Linked DNA regions of Drosophila melanogaster. Changing the gene in region 2 together with the main gene of any one other region gives a genetic interaction. Each region holds a gene or a part of one and is shown on either strand. Other genes may lie near its edges.

What was found. Genes that interact genetically often act in the same process or in processes that back each other up.
Region 1: of foxo (region 2) and Thor, changing one suppresses a phenotype caused by changing the other (phenotypic suppression), as found in Drosophila melanogaster (one study listed by BioGRID).
Region 3: of foxo (region 2) and mnb, changing one suppresses a phenotype caused by changing the other (phenotypic suppression), as found in Drosophila melanogaster (one study listed by BioGRID).

Annotation. Positions count from the first base shown.
Region 1 is NT_033779.5:3,474,150-3,481,935, reverse strand, and holds Thor (thor), read right to left. Parts: upstream 3,503-7,786; 5' UTR 3,321-3,502; coding exon 3,176-3,320; intron 2,752-3,175; coding exon 2,543-2,751; 3' UTR 2,324-2,542; downstream 1-2,323. Other genes in the region: CG15414 (uncharacterized protein), read left to right, coding at 20-982; Pgant4 (polypeptide N-Acetylgalactosaminyltransferase 4), read right to left, coding at 7,006-7,668, 7,738-7,786. UniProt on the Drosophila melanogaster protein: Repressor of translation initiation that regulates eIF4E1 activity by preventing its assembly into the eIF4F complex. Hypophosphorylated form competes with eIF4G1 and strongly binds to eIF4E1, leading to repress translation.
Region 2 is NT_033777.3:14,053,235-14,062,292, reverse strand, and holds the start of foxo (forkhead box, sub-group O), read right to left. Parts: upstream 5,349-9,058; 5' UTR 5,269-5,348; exon of another isoform or gene 4,865-5,268; intron 4,553-4,864; 5' UTR 4,186-4,552; intron 1-4,185. UniProt on the Drosophila melanogaster protein: Transcription factor involved in the regulation of the insulin signaling pathway. Consistently activates both the downstream target Thor\d4EBP and the feedback control target InR.
Region 3 is NC_004354.4:17,870,218-17,878,908, reverse strand, and holds the start of mnb (minibrain), read left to right. Parts: upstream 1-3,868; 5' UTR 3,869-4,029; coding exon 4,030-4,504; intron 4,505-5,508; coding exon 5,509-5,654; intron 5,655-6,155; coding exon 6,156-6,290; intron 6,291-8,251; coding exon 8,252-8,423; intron 8,424-8,486; coding exon 8,487-8,654; intron 8,655-8,691. UniProt on the Drosophila melanogaster protein: Role in the specific control of proper proliferation of optic lobe neuronal progeny.

The DNA.
Region 1 (7,786 bases), on a different chromosome or scaffold from region 2:
TCTTGTTCCCCAATTCCAGATGCCTTACCACCGACTGAATATTTTGGGTCTGTTGATTCTATCTTTGGTCTTGGCCAAGGCGGATGTGGGCTACCATTACAGCAGACCAACGAGACCCACGGCTCCCTCGGCACCTTCGGGCGCAGGATCGGTGTATACGGGTCACCAGTTCAGTGCGCTGCCCACCATCCATCCACTGCCTCCGATTCCGGCACTTCCTCCACTGCCCACGGCCAGAGTTCCAATACCCAGGAGTCGTCCCTCAGCTCCGGCTGCCAGCATCGTTAGTCATTATCTGCCACCGAAGCCGGTGGTCTCCACATATATTCCACCGCCAGCTGCTGCACCCATCTCATCTATAAGTTTCCACGGAACGCCCACTTTCAAACCCATCTACGGACCTCCACCGCCGGCAAGGACTTCTCTTGCCACGCCCATCGTGGTGCCGCCCACGGGACCAGCTCCACTGACAGCGGGAGGAAATCTGCGCATTCCCTTCGGCAAGCAGGCGTTGATCTCGCCCGGAGAATCCTACGTGGCCAATGGCAGGCAGCTGAAGCAATATGCCGTCATCGAGATTATTGACAACGACATAGACGAGACCCCGGCTCCATTCCTGTCCGGAACGAGTTTCTTCGATCGCTATGGAGCACATGTTGGTGCTCCATCCGCCAATGGAATCCAGCTGGACTCACGGGCTAATTCCTTGCTGCTGGAGCAGCAGCAGCTTGCCATCCAGCCCAGATCCCAGGGTGGTGCATCGGGAGGGGATGCCATTGCCTTGGGATCGGGCGGCCTGGGCTTTGTGCGTTTGCCCAACGGTAATGTGTATCTCGGCTCCGGATCCCTGGGCTACATCAGTGGTCAGCAGCGGGTGGCCTCCGTTCTGGAGGCACGCACTCGATCGGAATCCACGTCGGATGCCCTGCACTTCGGTCATGGTCCGCTTGGCGGAGTGGACAACCTGCTGAGGTTCAAGTAGAGAGGCTACCTTCCTTGTCCGCGCACACATCCGCACCTACGTCTATGAAAATATGTATATTTTATTGTAAATATGTAATTAAACAAGTTTAAACAACTTTTTGTGTAGACCGTAAGCTTGCTATTAAACTATTTGAGATTCTTGTACATTTGTCCTATGCGAAACATCGAAACTTGATCAAATAAATATAAATATGGTTAAGTGATACGAATTTTAATTGGATGAAATTTCAAGTTTCATATTTAGCACAGTGGCGCCATAATGAAAAGCCATAAAAACGGGCGTTTAAGGAACTAACAACTTTATGCGCTAACGCTGAAAAGTAGACTACAATTTTAAAAGTCGAATGATAGTATTGGTAATAAATAATACTAAGAACTGTAGCGCGAAGTTTTAAACCCCTCCTAATATTTAATTATTCTTAACTATTCTTATCTTCATAATTATATATTATTAGCGCAACTACCAACTTATGGCTATGTTTGATATTCATTGAGGTTTTAATAGCCAAAGCCATTGTTTTTTCAACTCAAACTTAAAGCTAATTAGTTTGTACAATTTGTTTTGACTGTCTGGCTTTGTTTACAGATTGAATTAAATTGGTTTGCCTTATATTTATAACTCTGTAAGCATCTGGGATCCACTATTTGCACTATCTCGTGCGGTCGAATTTTTGCACTGCGATGCTAAATCTTTGTCGAGCAAACACTTTTTGCGATTAGGTAATTATTCATGCGCAATATTCAAATGGGTCTGGAACGTGCCGGGATTAGTCGAGTGTAGTCGGATGTAGTTGTTGGACCACAAGGGATCGGTCTATCTGAACGAACATGTGCTCAGCACACTACTTTTGTATATATAAGAAAAATGGTAAAGGGCGGGGCGGGGGCCAAAGGCGAGGTCGTTTCCCAACTGCGCAGTTTCTTAAAGATCTATTTTTTTGTGGCGTTTGTTTGCCGGTTTTTGGATACATTATAAATATGTATGCATATCTTTGCAATAAGTGGGACACGCGCTGCTGGGGCCACTGACTGACTGGCTAACTAAAAAGCCGGCCGGTATTTCCAGCTGTCTAACATGTGTACCGCCCCCCAAAAAGCCCCCTTTCGCTAAATTTCTTCGTAAACAGTTCAAACAGTTCAACAAACTGCCGAAAATACTACTAAACCGAAACTGACTCAAGGTGAAGTGGAAAGTGTTCTATCACATAACGCGTGGCCTGCCAAGGTTGAATTGCCGATAAAGAAAGTAATTTGGCACTGAATTTCTCAAACATAAATTAAAATTTATAATTGTAAATTGGCAGCTACTGAATCCCAATGGAAGGTGTGGTTCTCTTTTAAATAATGTGTGCCTTTTTTTTATTGCATTTTACTTAAGATCTACGATTTTACAAGGTAACGGGGTCAATATGACCGAGAGAACAAACAAGGTGGAAGAACTAAGAACTTAGCATCTAGTTAATGGGTACACTAAGCTTATAAGATCGGTTTTAGTGGGTGCATCTAAGAACTAGTTGGATTTGGCAGTTGCTGCATGGCGGTGTACACGCCACACCCCCTACAGATCCAGTTGGAACTGTTCCTGGTCCTCAATCTTCAGCGACTTGGTCTGCTTGATCAGTTCCGTGGGGACGGGCACGCACTTGCGGAAGGGAGTACGCGGAGTTCCCCTCAGCAAGCAACTGGGCACGTTGGACGGCGGAGTTTGGCTCAATGGGGAGCCACGGAGATTCTTCATGAAAGCCCGCTCGTAGATAAGTTTGGTGCCTGGAATTATAGGAAAGCGGAAATTTTTATTAGTCAAGGTGGTCTGCGTTGCATCAGAAAGGTATTCAAAGTTCCCCACTGATAAGCCAGCTGAGTAAACGCTTCTTTGCCGCGCTACTCTGAGTCACGAACTGTGGAACATGTGCTCGGGATTATCTTCCAACTGACTGACTCGGCGAGATGGCCCAGTTTCATCAGCCAAAAAATGGTGAGTGAGTTTTACAAAAATAATGTATCACAACTCAAACAAAAGCTTGTTTGTTGTTTGAGCAAAGGAAAGAAACGGTATACTTGTTTATGTTTTCGAAATATGTTGATTAATTTCATCTTGATATCATATCTAATGATAAGAAAATCACTCCACTTTCCGGAAGGAACTTAATAATACTCGATGTAGTCTCAGCTTCCAATTTTCGAAACTTACCTCCAGGAGTGGTGGAGTAGAGGGTTCCGCCGGGCGTCGAGGAGTACACCTCGGGCATCTGGATCGGATCCGAGATGACAACCTTCCTGGTGATCATGGGCAGGGCCTGGGTGATGGCTTGACGGGCGGTGGGTGAAGCGGACATCTTAGCTGATTGATTGGATTGGTTTCGAAAACTTTCCGCTGGACGTGTAAGCACACTCGATATGGCTGCGACAATTTGATTGTTTACACAAACTGCGTTGTTTGTATTTCGTTGCTTGTATCAGCTATAGAGCTTGTGTGGCTGCTATGTGTTCACCGTTGGCTGTTCGCTAGGCGATTGCTGGCGGTATTACGAAGTGTGGCTCTATTTATACCCCCCCATTCTTACTCTCTCTCGCTCTCTTCTCGCTCTTTCGCCTGCTCTCTCGCCTGATTATTCTGCTTGGTCGGCTGATGTTTTTTGTTTTTATCTGGTGTATTTTCTGCGTAGTTTATGACAAACCGGCTGGTTCTTGTTGTTATTGCCGTATTCTAATATATTCCCCTATTGTTCTTATTTTTGTTGCAGCCTGCACACCTCGGAGGTTCTAGATGATAAGGGGTGTAGCGATGGTGGGGGGCTGTCTTGAGGGGCTTCTCGCCTTGAGCTCTTGTTTATCTTTGGTCATTTGTTATTGTTTAATGCACGGCAATATTATTGGTAAACAAGTTAGCCAACAGCACTAAACGCCAATCGCATTCTTTTCTAAAAACCAAGTCTATTGTCGATCTTGCTAGGGAAATGATGATGACTCAGGTGCAATTGGGATCTTATCTATGGCTGTCTGGGAGTCAAGAGGTGTTCCGCAGAATTTCGTGAAGTACTGCCGCTCTCTCCATGGGGCCATTATTTTGCACTCGTTTTCGCGAAATACCATTAATTAGCATAAAGACACGTCGCCGGCAATCGTGACGTAGGCTATGAGTGCCTTCTATGCATGTGCGAACTCGCGGAGCATAGCAATTTGAGCAACGATATTGCAGGTTTTTATGGGCTAAAAGATACCCAGCATTTCACTTTTTTTCAGGCGGAAAGTGTTCATTATTATCTGGCACGAGCCGTTTTGAAATAATTATCACGAAAAGATACACGTCTTACATAACTTACTTGCTTTATTTACTTAGATATGCAATTTTAGCGTGATTTCTATATTTAGGAGTGCACAATCCAAAAGTACGCTTAGCTCATATCAAAATTTAACTTGACTGATATGAAACATACATATTTAATATCTTTTCTTTGGCACATTGACTTCTTAGCCGTTTAATATTAGCGCACATATCTAAAGAAATACATATATCATATCACCAAATTTGGTGATCGAACCCTTATTAGTTCCCAAGTTCTTTGAGGTGGAATATCTTGTTTGGAATCAAACTAATATGCCCCACTGATCGCAGCAAGCATAGGGTGGATCCAAGCAGCGGCACGAGCGGTTTTAGCTATGCGGGGGCGATGTTGACGATATTTAATCGTTGGACGCATGTAAATAGTGCTACAGGAACTTTTGCCTACGTTGGCGCCCACGATTCGACGTAATTCGGATATTGGCCACGGGCCATTCCGAGGGATATGGGGTTGACAAAAGGTGGCCACGTGTGTTGATCTGCGGCGATCATGATCTCGATGTGGGACAGGGGATGGCGCCCACCTAGAAATCTGCACAAGGTCGATACTTAAGCGTGCTAATATTTATGATGGCTAAATGGGGAAGCTTGACAGACCTTGAAAGTAGATTTCCATGTGACGAGGAGCATATTTGAATTGGGGAAAGCATGACCCAAATCCATCAATTACACTAGATGGGGGTGGGAGTTAGCTGGGTGCCAACTGACCCCCAAAGTAGTAAACGGTAAACAAGGGAGCCAGAACACGAAAAACACGGACAATTTTGCCGTGTCATCTAGCACGTAGTCCACAGCATAGAAACCGCCCTACGTGCCGGCTGATATGTTTATATATTTTATTTTTTGGGTGAGAGAGCGGCTCTTCTCCGCATTTTCCACCTCCATTAGGGCTTATCAACCCTCGAAGAAACCAGTTCGGATTTTGCTTTCGTTTTCATCAGATACAATATGATGTACCTGCGCAAAGAGAGAGAGACAGGCCTATAGCCGCGAGGAAAGAGACGGCAGGCAGTTTTCCTACTGCGTTGCAGCCAAGTTAAAATGCGTCTTGAGATATTCCTAGCCGGTTCTCTAAGCGCCGAGGGGTGTTTTTCCCATCCGCCGGGGGACAGGTAATACATACGTACATATATAGTGAAATTCGGATGAAATCTTTTTCGGGGAGGCTGATGAAATTGCACCATCGAATTGCGTGAAACATACGGACGAACGGTGGGTCATTACCATCGGTGGGTTCTATTCCCAAACGAGTCTGAGATGGTTGTGAATGGGCTAGACGACATCGACTTGTTTATATTTTTCGGCTAGAGCGAAAACCATGAGAAACGTAAACAAAAAAGTCCAATGATATTTATATACTCTGCCAAATACACGTGGTAATCAAATCAATGAATGTGCTGTATTATTGCAATATAATATAAAGGTATTTAGGACTATGTATTGTGGTTTACCAATTCAAATTATTTATAGAGTGAATATCATATAGCTTATTATCTACCCATCCTACTTAAGATGGAAATCACATTTTATTCAGTGGTAAGTAAGTTTCCAAGAAAACTCGCAGATATACAAGTACTACTTGACCATTTTTGTTATCTATTACCAAACGCCCATCAACAAGTGAACTGCCCTAACAAAGGGAATCTTCCGAAGCAAATAAGACCCCCATCTCCGCTGACGTCGATGACCCACATTCGGTGAATCCGATTGAGAAGCGGCGTCGCCGTCGCGTTGGCCAAAAAATCAAATCACTTGACTTTGTTTATGCACAAAATATGAAAAGCGACGAGAAAAAAAATGCGGAGGAAATGAGCAAAACAACATCACGTTGTCTATAAATTAGCATGTGCTTTCGTTTGGTAGATAATGAACTGCATAGATAAGGATAAAGCCAGCCCAAGATCGAGACAGCTTGACGCTAAGTCATTGCCTGCTGCCATCCATCCACATTCATCCAGGGATCTTCGATCTTCGTCCTCTCCTGGGACAATCGCGCAACTGCGTCTTAAATTACATCAGCTTAACAATATGTCTGGTTTTTTTTTTTTTTTTGGTGATCTCGGACTTCAGACCTCGGAGGGGTGGGAACTTCTCTAGTCTATCTGGTGTCTGCTACCTCTTACCGACTCCTCTTTCTCCTTTTGTAGAAAGGTCAACAGCCCTGCTGATAAGGTTTTGCGACAGTCGAAAATTCAAATCGGAAGTGAAGAAGTACTACAGATGCTCTCACTACATCGATTACATCTATATTATATAAAAAGAAAATGTTTAAGGTATTTATTGATTCTACAATACACTTGTAACTTTTATTATTGTTTAATTTCACATAGTTACGATCTCTTAACTTTACAAGTAGTCGAGGATCTCTTCGAAACATTAATACCTAAATATAGTGTACGTACAGCAAATAAAGATCAGAGTTTGTGGCTCGCGATCGGACAGAATCCTCGCTCCGATTGCGATCTGCCTGTCCAGATCTTTCACTTTCCGCTGCCATATATCAATAATGCATGGGGCAAGAATTAATGGAAAAATGGAATTTACTTAGCGAACTTTTTTTTTCAGAAACCTTCACAACGAACAATGAACTAAACCCGTGACGATCGCGGTCCCCGACCTGAACCGATCGACATCTGGCCTGTGGTTACTCGAATTGTTAGTGGCTCGTGGATGAAAGTCTACTTTAATCCATCGTAGAAGGTGTCCAGCATAGTGTGGTTCACGAATCCGAACTCCCAGCGCTGGCGATCGTTGCCATTCTCGCAGGAATTGGCCACCACCTTGGCTATGCCGTTCTCCACAAATCCCTCCAGGCAGCGCTTGTTGTTCTCTCCGTGAACCAACCTTTGGGTTTGCCTGTCATAGTACCAGAACTGATTGCCACCCTGACTGTGGCAGCTCCACATCCAAACGGTGGCATTCGGCGGTCCCTCGTGCACATCCAGGCACACTGAATCGAAGCCCTTCATCCGGAGGTCTCGGAATATGGAGAGCTCCCAAAACTGATTCGGTTGCGGATGGGTCCTATTGTCCGCACAGCTGAACATACCCACCGCCTCCTCGGTGGACTTGCCCATGTTGTCCAGGCAATAGACCGGGTTGGCCACGTTCTGAATGATGCCGGCGGCGTAGCTAGGTGGTTCCACGGGCGGGAATTTGACGAGGAAATCAGGCGCCACCTCCGTCATGAACCAGTGGAAACTCTTGCACTTGAGTCGCTCTCGAACTCCACGCTGGCGGGTCAGATCTCCGGCATCCAGGTTGTCATAGGTCTTCGGATCGCGTTTGTACACATATTGCTTATACTCATCCATCCAAACCTCTGCCACGCGCTTGTGGTTCTAAATGAGATTTAAAACCAAATATAATTAGAATTAAAAAAGTAGAACTGGTTAGAGAGTAGCACCCACCTTGGCCACAAAGTTGTGTCCCCTTGGATTGCCCCTTGGCTTCATGGGT
Region 2 (9,058 bases):
CAAGCTATAGTCGACAATTCAGGGGCGTCGACTTTATATAGTTCAGGGGGAATCAGACAGGCGACGTTTAGGTAAAGTCTACTTAAATGGATTATAATTAAAAATAACTAAATTCAAAATAGCTTTTAATCGATTTTTGAGTTGTAAAACCATAGGGATGCATTAGTCATTTAAACTCACAGTTCTTATGACAGAAGTTTGGTAACAGATTTGTACATATTTGAAATGATAGCATTCCATTACATTTAATATCTTCTATTGCTTTTTTTTAATAGTTCCTAACTACTCCTAGAGAGCCCTACTTTTGCCCACGTCCCTGCTAACTCAGTGCTTATCAGGCGGGGAGCTGCGCTCTCAAGATCACTTGGCCAACCAGAAAGGTGTCCGCCAGATGCTCCTTGATTGCAAGAACCCTCGACTTCGGCGAACGAACCATGTGATTTCTTGTGCCTTGAGACTGGACCATCTCGTGGTGCCCCTGAATCTCAGGTATGGCCCTTCCTCACCCTTCCTCCCATGCTGCTGCTCAACGCTGTACCTGCCCCTCTCATCACACATGACCGGGTTCAGCAATGTGGAAGTAAAAGAGATCTACACCCCAGCAGCCAGCAGCACAACCCGTCAAACAGGATTATAAAGCAAAGTAAGTCAATGCGAGAAAAGCCCGATGCTCGGCCAAAAAAAAAAAAGAAGAAAAAATCGAAAAACGAAAAGAAAAAAACCAAAAACAGAGAAAATAAAAAGCAAGACTGACAGCTGGTCGTCGATGAGGAGGTAGGTATTCGAGCAGCACAGCAACTGGTATGGTCTGAACCAATCTGGTCCGGTCTACCCTGCCTAATGAGCCGACTTCGAGATGAAGAGGACGGCGGCGACGACGACGACGACGACAACGGCGACGGTATCAATCCCAAAGCCCAGGTTCGGTTCCAGGCCCATGATCTCAAGTACCTCGCGACCCCATGATGATCATAATAATGACGATGGCGCGGTGACGATGACGAGGCCACATCGAACCCACTTGTCGGCCACTCCGGTGTGCCGGGGATCTCAAAATGTGTGTGCTGTGCTGTGTCACCCTCCATAAAACCGAACGACCTTTGCCTTCGAAAGTGAATTATGCCCAGCAATATCAACTCGTCATGGACTAACCTGCTGATAAAGCAATATAACGCGAGAGCGACGAGTTCGGCTTGCCAAGGGACTAGTTATAACTTCAGGTTAAAACGGTACATGGGCGAACTTCCGGTTAAAGGAAAGTTAAGCCTAATATTGAAAAAAAATCGACTTAAAATTATATTGGTCTGGTATTATTATTATAATCTTACAGTAAAAGTTTGATCGGGCTTTAAGTGTTTTTGTGTTAAGTTAAGCTTCCTTTTTTGTTGAATAAAAAATATAATTGATTCACTTTTCTAATTTCACTTTAAAGGTTTTCAACTTCGCAACTCCCTGTAATAATTCCCAATAATTCCCTGTCGACACTTTGTGCTGTCGCTTTTTTTCCGAGTGCGTTCTTATCACGCAACCCCAAAGATAAAGAAGCGATAAAGAGCTGAAACGAAAGCAATGCACATCATATTTATGCACTCCCCGCCAGCCAGCAACTGTTGCCATGTGGAGCAGCAGCTCCACTCGCCGGCACCCGTTTCTATCTGTTTGTATCCCTCTCCCTCTGTGGCGACCAGCTGCTTATCGCGGTGGGCACCCTCCAAACCTCTGACCCCAAGCAACGCCACAATAACCCCTTTACAATGCCAAGCATAAACCTTGGACAACAAATCTTTTTTGTGGCACTTTCAATCTGCGCTCTTTTTCATATTATTTGTACTGTGCTTTAATTGTTGGTTTTCTGTACCACTGCGTTTTTGCTTGATATTAAAGTTAGTTTTGGGAAATAAATAACAATAATTTATATGTGTATATATTAATCATTGGAAAGTGACTAAGACTTAGGAATCTGGTAATGCAGTGATTGAAAATGATATATTAAGACATTTTTGTGAGCTCAGTCGGGCCCTAATGCACTTTCCAGCTATTTTGCATGATTTTCCTATTAACTTGGCATTAGAAAATCCACAAGGAGATGCCATGTCAGTCATTGCATTCTGGTTTTTTCTACGCTGTTAATATTTAATAATTTATTAAGTCAATTATCGCGGAAGCTTATTCAAATAAAAGCTTATTGAAAGTGCAGTTATCTGGCGGCACGTGGATCTGCGAGAGAATCACGCGCTTCTAGAGCAACTAAGAGAAATAGAGAATTACATATATATAAATGAATACATATGTAGATTTCTATATATTTATATATACATATACATATACATATATATCGCTATATAGAGAAGGAGAGGCCCGACCAGGCAATGTGCAATAGTTCAGAATGCAGCGAGTGCGAACGCAAATGCAAATGAACGGCAGAGGCCCTGCAATGTTTATTGAATTCATTACAATAATTAAAGAGCAAACGAACGATTCGATTCCACTCGACCGATGGCGAAGTCAACCAGGAACGTAGAGCCCCCAAACGGCGATCTTCGATTGACAGCTGGGACAACTGACGCATGGAAATCATGGATGGGATCATCTGACTTCGCAAACGCAATCGATTTGCATTACTAACGTTTTTGGGGTCGGCGCGAAAAACGAAATAAATTAAGCAAAAAGAAGCGTTCGAAAAAAAGTTCTACACATCTGAGTAGAATATTTAAAAATCACAAAATAATACTAAGAAATAACTACTGGTATTCCGACTATATCTTTCTAAACAAAACAATATGTAGTGGCTCTCATTTAATGATCATTAAATTTCCATTACTAACGTTTTTCGGTTATCGGTAAAATCGACATTATCGATATAACTTATCGTCATTCTCAAACGAGCTTATTAGTAAGAGCTTTACTAATTCTTGAAGAATACTAGAATACGAAGAATACGTTTAATGTTGTCTCTCAAAATTAATTGACTTCCCGGTTTCCCTGCTTCAATTACAGCTTTTTAGACAAACTTTCGCACACTTTCTTGTTATCAACTGGCACGTTCCACCAATGTGGCTAGCAAACACTCAAGATATGATAAAAGTCACAATCGCAAGCACATAGGACGACTATACAGATGTGTGTATAGGCTTATATGTACACTTTTTTTGGGCCATCAGCTGCTGTTGTACCTTGGCACATTGCGAATAGATAAAAGCCTTATCTGTAAATGGGGAATAAAAAAGCCTCTTTCGACAGCTAACCGAGTGGCGAATCAACCCATTTATGAAAATTAAACCTAATCACATTTCAATGTCAATACTGATGTCAAGAGAATATTCAAAAGCATCTGAAAACGGTGCGTATACGAGATCGCTGGCAAAATATGGCAACAAAATCGACCTTAGTGGATCGCATACGAAAATCGGGGGAGCAAACAAACACAGAACGAAAGAAATGAGCTCCACGCAAACGACACACGCTTCAAGCTCTGCTATCAGTGTGGCGCTGGGGCTCTATTTTTAGAGCCATTATCAGCGCTGCTCTAATTAAGATCTCCCCTGCCCACTCCCATGACAAGTAACACACCAAAACGGACTAATCAAAACCCACACGAACTGAAAGATCATCTATTGGAGCGACACTGCAGCGCCGAACGTGACCGACTTTATGATTCTAGTCGTTTTGATCTTGAAAGTGAAACTAGGAATTACTCGAATAAGGTTATAAATCACATTCCCTATCGGTTGTATTAAAATTTGGGTCGTAAATTCAATAGATGTGACTACTTTAACACAACAAAAAGTCCAGCTTTCCTATCTAAAATTCTAAACACCAATATAAATAAAAGAACCTAACTCTAGTTTCTATTAAACCTCTTAACTTTTATCAAAGCTTATTTTTATAAATATAGCAATAGCAATTTATATTGGAAATATTTCACGGAAGAATGAATATTTTATTGTGGCGACTAAAAAAAATGTTGTTGTAATCAACATAAAATACCATTTAATTTAAATTTTAATTGATGTGTAGGAAAGCACTGCTTCAATTACTTTTTTAATCGCGTGACGAAACAAAATTTGACTTTTAGAATATTTCAATCAATTGCCGATTAGATTCGAATCGAATTTAGGAACTTAAAAAACATGACATTTTTCATTCAATCAAGTACACCTACTCGTAATTGTTAATAATATTTACCCGCCAAATGTTTGCAATGGGAAATAGCTGGCTAATTTGTTGCTCCTTGTTGATTGCGATTTAAAAAATTGTTGATTTTGCCGGTGGGATTTGTTGATCGCCGTTTGCTGTTGTTAACTGGCACTGTTTTACTTTATTTTCCTGGTTGCTTTGCACTTTTTTATGGGTTTGTTTTTTTTTTATGGGTAGTATATATGATTGTGTTGTTGTTTTGAGCGAAACTTGTGCGGATTTCTTGATTTTTAGTGGTTATTTAAATATATACATATATATTTTTTAGAATTCTGTTGGCATAATTTTCTGCTCACACACACACACACTCATTAAATGGGTTTCTTGTTGTTGCTGGGCGGCGGTTTTGCTTAAGCTAAAGACGATTGTAAAAACGGTAAATTAGAATATATATATAACAACAATCAAAATAAACAAATAAAAAGAGCGCGAAGAGAGCGGCGCGATTAAAGAGCGTAGTGTGTGTATGTGTGTGTGCCGAAGAAAGAGAGGGAGAGAGCGAAGAGAGCGATCACGTCACGTCATCAATTCATGCCAATTGGACGCACACACAACACTTAATTGGAATTCGTATGAGAATTCAATGAAAACCGTGCGGCGCAGTCGAAAAGTTGTTTAAAGTTCAAATGGGTAAAAAATTTTAATATAAACACGTTTCGGAGCTTACTCCAATTCGCTTTTTATTCGCCACTAGTGTGCGTAACGTATTTTATGTGCCATATAGTAGGTACATATGTATGTATTTGTATGTACAACGTGACTGCTACGAAGATCATCCAAGCATCGCTATTTAATACGTTTTGGAGCTTTTCTCTTATTTTATACGATTGTCGTATGTAAAAAACGAACGCGTTCCTTCTACGTTTCAGTTTTGAGTTCGGCACATTCACATGTTTTGAAAGCGAAACATATTTATTTTCCACTTTCTTGATTTGTTTCTACATTTGCGTTTTAGAATCAACGGTGTTCGGCCCCAAACGATTTGGGCCTCAAAAGATCACTGCGTTTTTTGCATTGGTTTATATTTGCTTTGCTTGAAGTTGAAAAGGAAAACGATGAACGATGAACGACCTCGTGGCTTTTAACCGCAAGCGAAAAAACACAGACTACTCGTTAACTGCTTTCTAGTTGGATGCGAACTGACAACTGAAACTGATTCGCCGTCGCCTTCGTAAAAGTGTTCGTTTCGGCGGCGCAAAAAGGCGGTCTGTGCGTGTGTGTGTGCGACCTATGTCCGCGTATGTGAGAGCTTGCTCTTAGCATCCACTCACGTTCCACAACCGCTCACTTCACCGCTTTTTTATGTTTGTGGCGCGCTTCGTCTCACACACTCTCACACACTTGGGGCCAAAAAATTAGTGGGGTATGCCAAATCGATATGTTTTATTTGAGTATTTTCTGCGTGAAATAAGAGAAGTTATAGCTATAGCTATAAATGCAATAGATATTTTAAATCTTAAAGCATACAAATTTCTCTCTTTAAGGGATATTAACCCCAACTAAATGATAATTCGTATAAAATAAAAAAGGAATTGTTTCAATACTTACAAATTTAATAATATAAAACTTAATCTATTTATTTTTAATAACGGGTGACTGTTTTAATGAAAAGAATAAAGTTCAGCTGCAGTGAAACATTTAAGACGTCATTGCATATTAATAACAATTTGAAAAGTATTCATTATAAAAAACATGTTATTCACTATTGAGGTGACCGCCTTTGTGCCCCCGTCAATATTAATAAATAAAAGCCATAGTTTACCTATTTTATACATTTGGAATTTAAATTGTTTCTTTTCATTTCGGTCGCGCTGCTCTGAACTCGAAATTCTCGACGATGGAGGAAAGGGAACGGCGGCGGTGGGTGGTGGTTGGGCGTTTTGGGTGGGGTGATGGGGCGGTCGGCATTGCTGATAAGGCAGCCGTTATCTCGCGATTGTCGCTCGCTCGTTCACTCAAGCTCTCTCTCTCCCTCCCTCTTTGAGGCTCCATTTCTCTCTTACGTTCATTGTCTCGTGATGCGATGGAAAATTTCCCGAAATTGCATTCTACTGATAATGCCAGCAATGCACATTTGTGCATATGAATATGGGACTCAGAAGTGCCCCGCATCTCTTGCAGTGTGCGAGCTTTTTGGGAGCATGTATTTTATGGTCAAAGTCCCCCGCATCCCCGACCACCGAAAAATAAGCCCCTCCCGGTGCCAGTTTTTTTTTTTTTTTTAATTTCATTTTTCGCCTAGGCCCGATATCTCTATACTTGTACACACGTTCGCGTCCATGAGAGTGTGTATCGGTGTTATTTTAATGTGCCTGCCACATAAATTCCGCAACATTACACGGCTAATGAAGTCTAGACGCTGAGGACGGAGAAACCAACAGTTTATGGATCATCCAAACTTAAAGACCGACCCGATGCGATCGTCTCGATCCCTCGAGAGGGGGGATTAGAAACGAGCCAAGGAGATGAGTTAAGGACTTTAGGGTGCATCTTGGCATATCTAGGATCTTAAAGATTTCAAATTTGCAGGCTTCATTGGGTAATTTTTTGTTAATTTGTAATTTTTCAGAATATTTTTATTGCTTAAAAAGCTCTTTTAGTTTTTTTTTGTTGTAAGATTATAGCTCTATTAAATAGGCCTCAAAGTCTGCAAAGTCCCGAGTTATGACAATAAAAGTTTGCATGTACATAGAGATTTTGGAATGCGAGAACAACAAGAAGATAAGTCCGCCAAAAGATACATATATATTTTAGAATGCTATTAAGTTGGCTTAAGAACGATAAGTAACACGTTGGTATAGGTAAGTTCCATCTGGAAGTGGGCTTATAAATCACTACTACCATTTAAATGAGCATGTAAATAGCATGTTAACTGGAGTATCAAATGAATTGAAGTTCTCAAGACTAATTTATGCGTTTGAATGATCAGATAAAAGTTAAAATCACTCGAGCAGTGTATCAATAGGCCGCCCACTTCCCATTCCATTCCATTGAAATTACACAGACGTTTCAGCTATCGCCAGCTAATACTTGATCATAATTGTCAGCGGCAAAAAAAAACAGAAAATATACAAAAATATGTATAGAGCGTTTCATTTGCGTTGGCGCGTGGCGAATGGCTAACTGTCGTCGCCGTCTCGGTCTCCGTCTCGTAATCACAACCAAATTTGACAAACTGGACACGCAAGGCACTAAACTCAGGTTTCAAACTGCGCGCCAAATCTCGAAAGGAGCTTTTCTGGGCGCCAGAGTGCCGAAAACGAAAGGGGTTCTTTCTACAAGCGACGCTCAAGTTTCAAAGGTCTCGAACTGCCTAAATGCTTGGCAAACTCTCTAGAACTAGATAGAACTAGATTTAGACCATTTTAAAAACTATTTAACTATAACTATTTAACTACATAAAAAAAGAACATTGTTTAACCGCAGCACATATCAAATAATTATTTAATTTCATTGCTATAAATGATAATCAGTTAAATACTCTGTAAATTACGTATACGCCCAGTTGTACAACCAGCTATCATCGTTATCAATACAGTTTATTAGATCTTAATAGCACTTAGTGAGTAGTGTGCAAAAAACATAAACGCCACCCTTTAGCAGGGCATTAGCACCAGATGCTCCGGCTAATTCGATCCAAAGTAAAGCCAGGCGATCCAAATCAAGTGGAGCCGATCCGGAGTGGCTCTACACACGCTTGGCCTTCAAAAAATTATAATTTCTGTTTTAATGTCTCGCCTGTGTTGGCATATCGTCGATGGATCGAAGGGGTTAATGGCAAGGGGGTGGTGGTATATTGCTATATTGGCATATTATAGCGGTCTCAAACTTGGACTCCAGTTGACTCGCCCGACGATTGTTTACCAGCAAAGACTGAGACAGTGTGTGTCTGTTTCATATGGAAATTTGAACACTGTTACTAACAATTTGTTAACTCAACCATTTTAGGCAGCCCTGCAAGTGTGAGATGGTGCGAGGGAGTAAGAAACACGATTGTTTTCCTAACTCGTTGGCAGCGATAGTAGAAATTGTGATTCCTAATTGATTTAGAAGTGGTTTATGCGCCAAAGAATACTAGATAATATATTTACTCAAATACATACATATACATATCAGTCACTATTAAAGCATTTCGCAATGGTGACCTAATACCGAACACCTCCCCAATAATCGCTTGATCAACTGTGGCCGAAACGGTATTTGCTGTGCCACTGCCACTTTGGCTAAAACGAGATTTTGTGACGTTGGTGTGTCGCTGTCGAAGTCGCACGCTGATGTTGATGGGGCGCTATCAAGACTCTAAAAGACACCCAACCAACATCAACTCTCGCTGGCAGGCGGAATTATGCTTATATGCTTATGTGCGCATGTGTTTGTCAAAAGCGAGCCCCCCTAATGTGGCCACATGGAATTCTGCGAGCAGTGGCGTACTCAGAAAGCGGGCTAAGGGGAGGGGCTTATTGGAAGTATACTAAAAATAAATAAGTTAGTTTCAGAGTAATAATTGATTCAATTATTAGTACGTTAATATTAATATCTAATACTTATAAAAATACTTTAAACCTCAACCCTCCCCCACTTCGTCGCCCATGTGAGCAGCAGACTCTGTAGACGGCGATGTGAAGGCTTTCGGGATGTCGTAGTACTGGACCCATTTCCAATAACTGTACCGGTTCGACTTCTCCAACCTCCCCCTTCCCTCCAACCACCGCCCCCCCCCCCCTCACGGTAGCGTGTGGCATTTAAAATGCAAAAATATCGCTTAAGCGTTATCTCTAATTTATTGAGATTAAGGAATACTGATTAATTTAACGACGTAATTGATGCAGCCGCGAAAGCGCACGACTTTCGATCGGCAAGC
Region 3 (8,691 bases), on a different chromosome or scaffold from region 2:
GTGTGTGTGTATGTATGTATTAGAGGCGGCGCCCCGGCAGAAGAAAAAAAAACACAACGAAAAAAGCCAAGCCACACGTTGAACTTGCGCGCTCTCTCGCTCGCACACAGACGCATGCTTTTTGCGTCGCGTGTCGTTCGTTCACCTGCCAAAGAGAAACACAGAGCGATAGAGAGTTGGGAGAGCGAGCTGATTAACATCGCGTTAACAGAGGCAGAGAGAGCGCCCGATTGTTATTATTTATTATTTTTATTTGCGACGTACGCTTCAAACCTTTTCCGGCTCCCCAATTCATACACATATATGCGTATTTGAATATATATATACTTAACTATAAATAATTACAATTCAATTAGTTGATTAAACAAACGCCTTCTCTCATTTCATTGCAGCAAGCAGCAGCACAAACAACAACAGCAGCAGTACAGTTTTGTAAACAAAGCGTGGCGACAATTTTTTACCATTATCAATTGCAAAAGGAAACATTCAAATTTAAAAGTGCTTTTGAAATGTTTATGCAAAATGTTGAGCATAGCGGAAGCCAAAAATTACCATAAAACCAAAAGTACATTAACTTGAGAAAATCGATAGATTCTAGCTAACAAATCGATAAAGAGAAGACAAAAACAAAAAAACAATCCATACAACGCAGAAGAAAGACAGATCGCAAAAGTTTTTGCTTTCTTCTCAGATTTCCCCCCTGCGACTGTGTGCGTGTGAGTTCGCATTCGCGTGTGTGTGTGTGTGTTTTGTTTTCATTAGAGCACACACACACGCCCCGTTGTGTGGGAGTGTGTGTAATTGCAATGTCGAGCGGTAAATAAACGGAAAGAGCAATAACAATAATAACAACAAGAGCAGCAGGAGAAACGTGTTTTTGTTTTGTTTGTTTCATAAATGTTTGACAATTACACTGTAAAAAAGAAAGAAAAGTAATTCGTGACAAGTGCGCGTACAAACGGTAAAGCAAATTCGAAAAAAAGACTTGAAACTTGTGTTCATAATTTTAAACAAACAACAAAAAGTATTCGACCCATTTAAAAATATATACGAAAAAATATATATTAACCAATACCACATACATAAATCTATATTAACTGGTAATCACGAAAGGAAATTCAAACAAAAACAAGTAATAAGGCAACAACAACGACGCAAAGGATAACGAAATGAATGCAAAATACACAAAAAAAAATATTTAATTTATAAAAAAAAACCTACAAATCACAAGCAACCAAAATCCGACACAAAAACACAATTTCAAACTATCCAAATCGCATGAACAAATAACGCAACATATATATATTCATCTATATAAATATATATAAGCAAGAGTATATATATGTCAAGTACATATAGCGTAATACATAGGAGCCAACAAACCAAGTAAAGATTCATTAATCAGCGCAAAACCAACAAACATCATCCCCATGTATAGATTAGAGGATACGAATAGCGGCGGCGTTATGGATAAGAATAAACAGAAACGTAAGTATTATCCACTGATCCTTTTCCAAAAAAAAAAAAAAAAAAAAAACTAAGGATCATATCGCTCGGACCGCTCCAGAAACTGCCAAATATTTCATCAACCTTTCACCATTGCAAACCCAGTTTATAACCACTTCTTTTTGTCAATTGAAGTATATCCTGCGAATTTATTCGGTACAATCATTTTTTTAGTGTAAATTGAAGTTAGTTTTTATTGCCATATAGATGGTACTTTGTGCCAATCGAAAATTGTAGTGCTATATTGTAAATACGAGGGGACTGACTATAAATCAAATAAAAGTCAGTCATTTTGCAAATACACTTGACATTCCAAGATAAAAAATGGTGTTAATGTGGCCGCAGTAGTACAGCTGTAACGATACTACATTATTTACCTTTCGAGAATAAATCAGTTCAATATTACTGCTTTCGATGGCAGTGCCATGTTCTGCAATAATTCCACGCAAATGGGGCATATCACCGATAATAATAATTAGTATCAGGATCAGGTGCTATTTTAAATAATGGCCAGATTTCGAACAGCTAATTTGGGCTGCCTTTCCCCACCATTTCCACCGCTTTTCCTGCTCAGGCGAGGAATGCAACAATGTCACTGCATTCATTCAGTAAATAATATGTCCAACTGTTTGCTTATCACTCAACCGTCACCGTCTGTATTTGTTCCAATCCGCACTGTTTTGAAAAACCCGTAAGTCTATGCGGGACTTCCCCATTATTTGCCAAATATGTCGAGACTTTAGTATCCGATTAGCTGGCGCCGCCATCTGTTCATAAAGTTGTCAAGTGGTGGGTAATAGTAGTATTACAGTCGCAGTCACGTCACGATGTGAGTCACCTGCTCCGGATGCAATTATCGATGGTGTGTGATTGTTGGTAGTGGCCCTATCCCCCCCCCCCCCCTCATTCCTCGCCCAAAATGCAAGTGGCCAAAAAGGTGGCGGGGAGCGAACGCAAAATGTCGTCAACTATTTTTATTTTCGGCCGAGAGACGCGACAGACAAACAACGAACATGAGAACTTTGGGGCAAAGATCCCACATTGCGAACGGAGGATCGGATCGGATCGGATCGGATGGGATCCCTATAAATAGAGGGACTGGTGGCTATGCTCCTGCGAATCTTTCGAGGGGCCCCGAACGCATTAATTATTCAACTCTTCCATCGATTGGCAAGCGTTCAATTTGTTTATTATAAAAGCAAAATATTTTTTAATTGCTTTGGCGAAATGGAAAACACAAATTAGCTTGGCGTGTAGACAGACATTTACATAACTCGAAAGAACACAAGTTTATAATTATTTCAAAATCGTTTGGCATTACTGGGCATTTTAGTTTCGAAAACGATTTCCTATTTTTATGGCCCACTCTGCCAAGTGGCAGCTCAACCAGTTATACAGTTTTGTAACGCACTGCATTATGTACACACACTTTTTGCCTGGGGTTAATTACATTTTATTTTAATTTCACATTTCGTTTGCTTTGTTTTGATTTCCTTGACTTGCCGACGACGCAAAAGCCGAAACAAAGAAATGCATACTTACATATGTATGTATGTATGTATGTATGTATATTTGTATCTTTGCGCGCACGAGACAAGTGCGAGCACTTTCCCACCCACAACCACCCAGCGTTCCCCCATTTACCCCACATGCATTCGCTACATGTCACTACGCTACATGTCATTATTGAAATGCCATTATCAACGAAAAGCGGAACTCCCTCTGTCAAAAAAAACACTTGTGATAGAAAACAAAAGGCCAGCCAGAAGTGAGCTTTTCACCAACAATAATGGGGGAGAATACCTAAGAAAACCGATTTATTCGTTTGTGGTTAATCACAAGCAAGTGCAAGTAACTCTGTGATCAATATGGAGATACTGAAAGGTATTTACCCAACACTGTTTCAATCAGTTGAGCTTCTTCAACACCAGAGATGTGCACTCCGAAACAAAGGTCGAAAGGTATGGATTTGACCAAGAGATATCACCAAGAGATTTTTCTATTTCCCATTTACTCAAATGCAATTGTGCAACACTGAACGAGTCTAGTGTAGTGTTAATATAGCGAATTCCGATGCCAGATAGCCGGGCATTCCCTACTTTAGCTTCATGATCATTACCACGCCGAGATCGTGATGATCGTTGCTGCAATCTCGCTATCGGCGCTCGGCTTCGTTCGTGTGTTCCGCATAAGTGCAGCAAAAAAGTGCAAAAACACCAAGTGAAATAAAAGAGCAGGGAGAAAACACGGTTCCGTATAAATAAAACAGACGACAACAACAACAACAACGACGAGTGGCAAACTTTGGGGACAGAACTGGGGGAACAAAAACCGAGGCAGTTTGCGCTGAATTTTCACACGAAACAGACCGCGCTTCATACAGCCAGATCCAAATGGATCTTAAATTACTTAAATAAACTATATAAAAATAAACGAAATAAGCATATCATTTTGATTGAAAAAAGGAAGCGGTTAGTGCAAAGTGCGTTCGCGATTCCGATTGCGATTCCGATTGCCAGTGATATGTCGACGGCCCTGGTTTATTGGCAGTCAATGAATGGCGGCGATCCGGTTGACAAGGCCACCGCGGATTGGGCGCCATTCGTGGTTGGTGCAGCAGCTGGTGGCAGCTTCAGTAGCAGCATCATCACCAGCAGCAGCAGCAGCTTGAACCACCATCCGCACAACGGCCACCACAATCACCATCATCCGCCTCATTACATCAATTATTTGGCGCAAATTGGCTGCCAGCATCGTGTCAGAAATTGGCCAACAAATGGCAATCAGGATCAGGCGGATGACGACGACGCTGGCCATCAGATCATCTCTAAATTCCTGCCCAAAAGTGCCTGGGACACGGTGCTGTTGGATGTGAAGCGGGATGTAGATGAAGATGGAGATAGAGATAGAGATCGGGTCGATGGCAATGTGCTGATGGTTCAGGGATCGTCATCATCATCATCGAGAATGAAGGCGGAACGGGCACTCTATTATACTAGTAAGCCCATTGGATGAAACAGAGAAGTTGGCCTAGAAAAATTTGTTGCATGTCAGTTTAACTGACCGACAACTTTTTTTTTTGCGTTTGCACAATTAGTCAACGAATAGAAAGGAAAAGTATCTTTGCTCTCGCCACATGTTTTTTTGGAAATTAGAAATGGAGTGTTGGAATATCAAATGTCGCGGATTATCATCGAAAACACAGCTGCTGCCACTTACAGGTTTTACCCTGTTGCTTGATTTTTTCATTCTTGTTTATAACGTTGGGTCTATTTTTGTTGCACAAGCCATCAGCGAACGAAGAGCGAAGAGCAACAAAACAAAAAGAGTGAGCATGTGAAATGGTCATAGGAACGTGGGGAAATAGAATCTACAAACGGCAGAATTATGTATCTGCGCCTGCATATTGTGTAATAATTTCAGTTCAGTTCCGTCTGGTTCTAAAATTAAGGTAGAGCTTCTTTTTTACTTACCTCTGCTGGCCTGCCAATGCACAGGAAAAAAATATTGCTAGCAAAAGTAGATTCTTCGGAAAGGAAGAGAAATGTTCCAATTCGTTTTTTTTTATATGGCAGCATCATGTGCTTACTATCTTTAACTCACTAGTATGACCACCAATTCAACAACTAATTTTAGAACGAATTTTGCATCTTGAGTTAAAAAAAGAATGCATGACTCTGGGCTGGCTCTATATCAGATCTTAAATGGGAATTGGCAGTGTTTTTCCTGCGGTGTGTGTCCACACTTTTCGCCCTACCCTTTGCTTTTATTATCGTTTTGGCAACTCTTGACGCTGACGTAGTCAGGTGTGCAAGAAAACAGGTGCATTTTGCAGAGGAGCGGTGTCCGAGCGATCCGGTCAATGAACCAGCACAGAACGGCGCACAACGAAGGCGGCAAGCAAATACATCGCAATAATTATATATACACACATATATATTTGTATAATTCCCGCCGATATCTGATAGTATCTCTGATCTCTTCCTTTCTCTTACGCTCTAGTGTCCGCTTATGGGTCCAGCGGCGGCAGCGTCGACGCAGCGCAGGGCAGCGGAAGCGGGGGCGGAAGACAGCGCCACGCCCCACTCTACGGGCGATTCGTCGACGCAGAGGATCTGCCTGCCACGCACCGGGATGTCATGCACCATGTGAGTATTATCAACTAGCATTATCCTTATCTTCAATCCAAAACATGCATTTACACACAAAGGACATGCAGAAGTTGTGTTTCTTTCTTTTAGAAATTGTAGAACATTTTTTGTTTAGAAAAAATCCACAAATATTTCAACGGAGCCGTGTAAAAGATAACTTTACTTCGTTGAATATGAACTTACTTTTTCCCATGCTCTACTTAAATTAAAACATGCAATTAGAAAGGTTTATGGCGCATTTGAGAAAGCCGCGCCCTCGGAAGAACAAAGAATGGTATTTTTCAGGACTGGTTTTGCCTTTCTCAATGCGGCCATTAAGACTGCGTATTTATGTTAATAACGAAGCTTAGCAAGTACATTAATAATGTTGTTTTAAGAAATTAAAGAGATTGTGTTCAAAATAAAAATGATTTGATCTGAGCACGATCTGAGCCAAAGCTAGCTGGGCATCACTTTATTGAACAGTTTGAGTAATACGTTCTCCATCTCATTCCACAGCACTCTAGTCCCTCGTCTTCGTCGGAGGTGCGCGCCATGCAGGCCCGGATTCCCAACCACTTTCGGGAGCCCGCCTCGGGACCTTTGCGCAAGCTGAGTGTCGATCTGATAAAGACCTACAAGCACATCAACGAGGTGAGTGTGGCCCATAACTGGCGTTTAATCTGGTTAATCTACAAGCAAAACATATGAGAACCAATTGATAATTGGATATTTGATCATAAAATCCTATGTTTATCGTGGCAATATTGAGTTTGGATCATGTTTACCAGGTTCTCTTGTCGTTACAATGCACATAACTTTTCTGTTTTCATTTGCATTAGTAAATAGTGATTCTATTGATATTTTAGCTTGGCAAGATTCCATATCATTTCAAAAAGTATATTCTATCTAGTTTATGTAACTGTCTACCTTATCAATTACCATTGCGATGATGTTGTTCTTGTAGTCTGCAAAACTACGAAGGAACCTTGGCATCCATCCATCCCGATTTCTTTCTTCTTTTTTTTTTATTTACGCTTATATGTCGATCGGAATTTCGTCGGGGGCTTTTCTCGTCTTGTGGCTTTCTTTTTTCGGCTGTCTGACTATCTGCTGACAGCGGATATTTGTGGCGTTGAGCTGGGCTAAAGATACGTTTGTCCTTGACCCGTTCGTGGGGTCAATTCCCCCAACAGCGTCACCGTTCCCCCGCAGCCAGCCATTTGCAGTTGGCTTCGATTGACGTCGTCTGCCGCCTCGGTTGACAACAGCCGAAAAAAAATAAATAAATAAAAGGAGCATAAATGCTACACGCAACTGTCTCGGTTCTCCTGCCAAGTTCCCAAATTTCTCAACGAGAACGTCCCCCGAATAACTAATACTTGTTTCTTGATGGCCTCTCATGGAAACTGTCAAATGACGCTATGACAAAATGCCGCCGACCTAAATCGGTGATTATGCGCCTTGAGTGGGTGGGGCGAATGTCGCATGCCTCATAAAAATGTTAATATTTCACGCAGTTTGAGTTCTTACGAGTTGCACGCAACTTTTCCCAATAAAAAAAAAACCTTCACTTTCTGGCATTAAGGATAGCTACTATATTCTATATTTTCTTTGACAAAGCGTACTTAATTGTAATTAATTTAAACCGGCATCTTAAAATGTAGCTTATTCTCAACGGAAGTCAAACATATTGAAATCGGTAAATGAGAATGCTGCAGTTGGGCGATTTGACAGCTAGCGATGTTGCAAGTATTTGAATTTGACAGGTGCTCTCGAGCAGTTGGAGTGCTTTTGACAGAAGTTACAGTTACATTTGCAGTTGGCAGCTTGTGCCGTTGGAGATGCCGTAATATTGCAAATGCCTTTTCGCTGCCGCTTTGTATGCTACAGTTTTCGATTTCGAGAGAGTGGGGCTCTCTTCCTCTGACTCTGTCTCCTGTATCCTCTCGCAACGTGGTGCTATCTCACTTGCACCACCGCCAACTTGCCGCGTTAGCAACAACTTTTTTCACCAAGCTGCAGCCTTTTTTCCCCCGTGAAAGAGAAGCCGTGGTGGGGAAAAAGAGAGTACGAAAGAGTGAGTCGAAAAAGGGAGAGAGGATTTTCTCTTTTTTTTTTTTAGCTTGGCGTCGCCCTCTTTCGGCATTTTTTTTTTTATTTGCCGGTCTTGGTTCTCATTTTCGCGATTTCCCCATCTTCCCACTTTGTGTTTACATTTGTCGTTGATGAAGTGGAAGTAACGGGATTACTTGCAACTGGCCAATAGAATCCAATTATCTTTAACACTTCAATTTTTGGAAATTGTATTATTTTTCTATTACTTCACATGCATTTTGAACATATTATAATGGGTTAGAAAACTAATATATGTAAACAACACAGAAATGCTATCTATTGAAATTGATCCGACTATTTTAAGTGTATAATCGTATTCTCCTGGCAGATTCGCGTTGTTGCCCTTTAGGTCACTCTACTTGCCGCCAGGTGGCGAACATGATCATAATATTACAACAAAAGCATGAAATGTGTTTTTTTGTTTTATAGTTAAAAAAAGATTTTTTTTTATTTGTAAATTTTTAATATATATGATAATATTATTTACTTCATTTCAGGTTTACTATGCGAAAAAGAAACGTCGTGCCCAGCAGACGCAAGGAGACGACGACTCATCTAACAAAAAGGAGCGAAAACTTTATAACGACGGCTACGACGACGATAATCACGACTATATAATCAAGAATGGCGAAAAGTTTTTGGATCGCTACGAGATCGACTCTCTGATCGGTGAGTGGGGATCATACATATATCTATCGAAATTTAACTCATTTACTAATTACGTTTCCGCAGGCAAAGGCAGTTTTGGCCAGGTGGTGAAGGCTTACGACCACGAGGAGCAGTGCCACGTGGCGATCAAGATAATTAAGAATAAGAAACCGTTCCTAAACCAGGCACAGATCGAGGTCAAGTTGCTCGAGATGATGAACCGGGCGGATGCCGAAAACAAATACTACATCGGTATGTGAATCTATATATATACCTTTACTAAAGTACA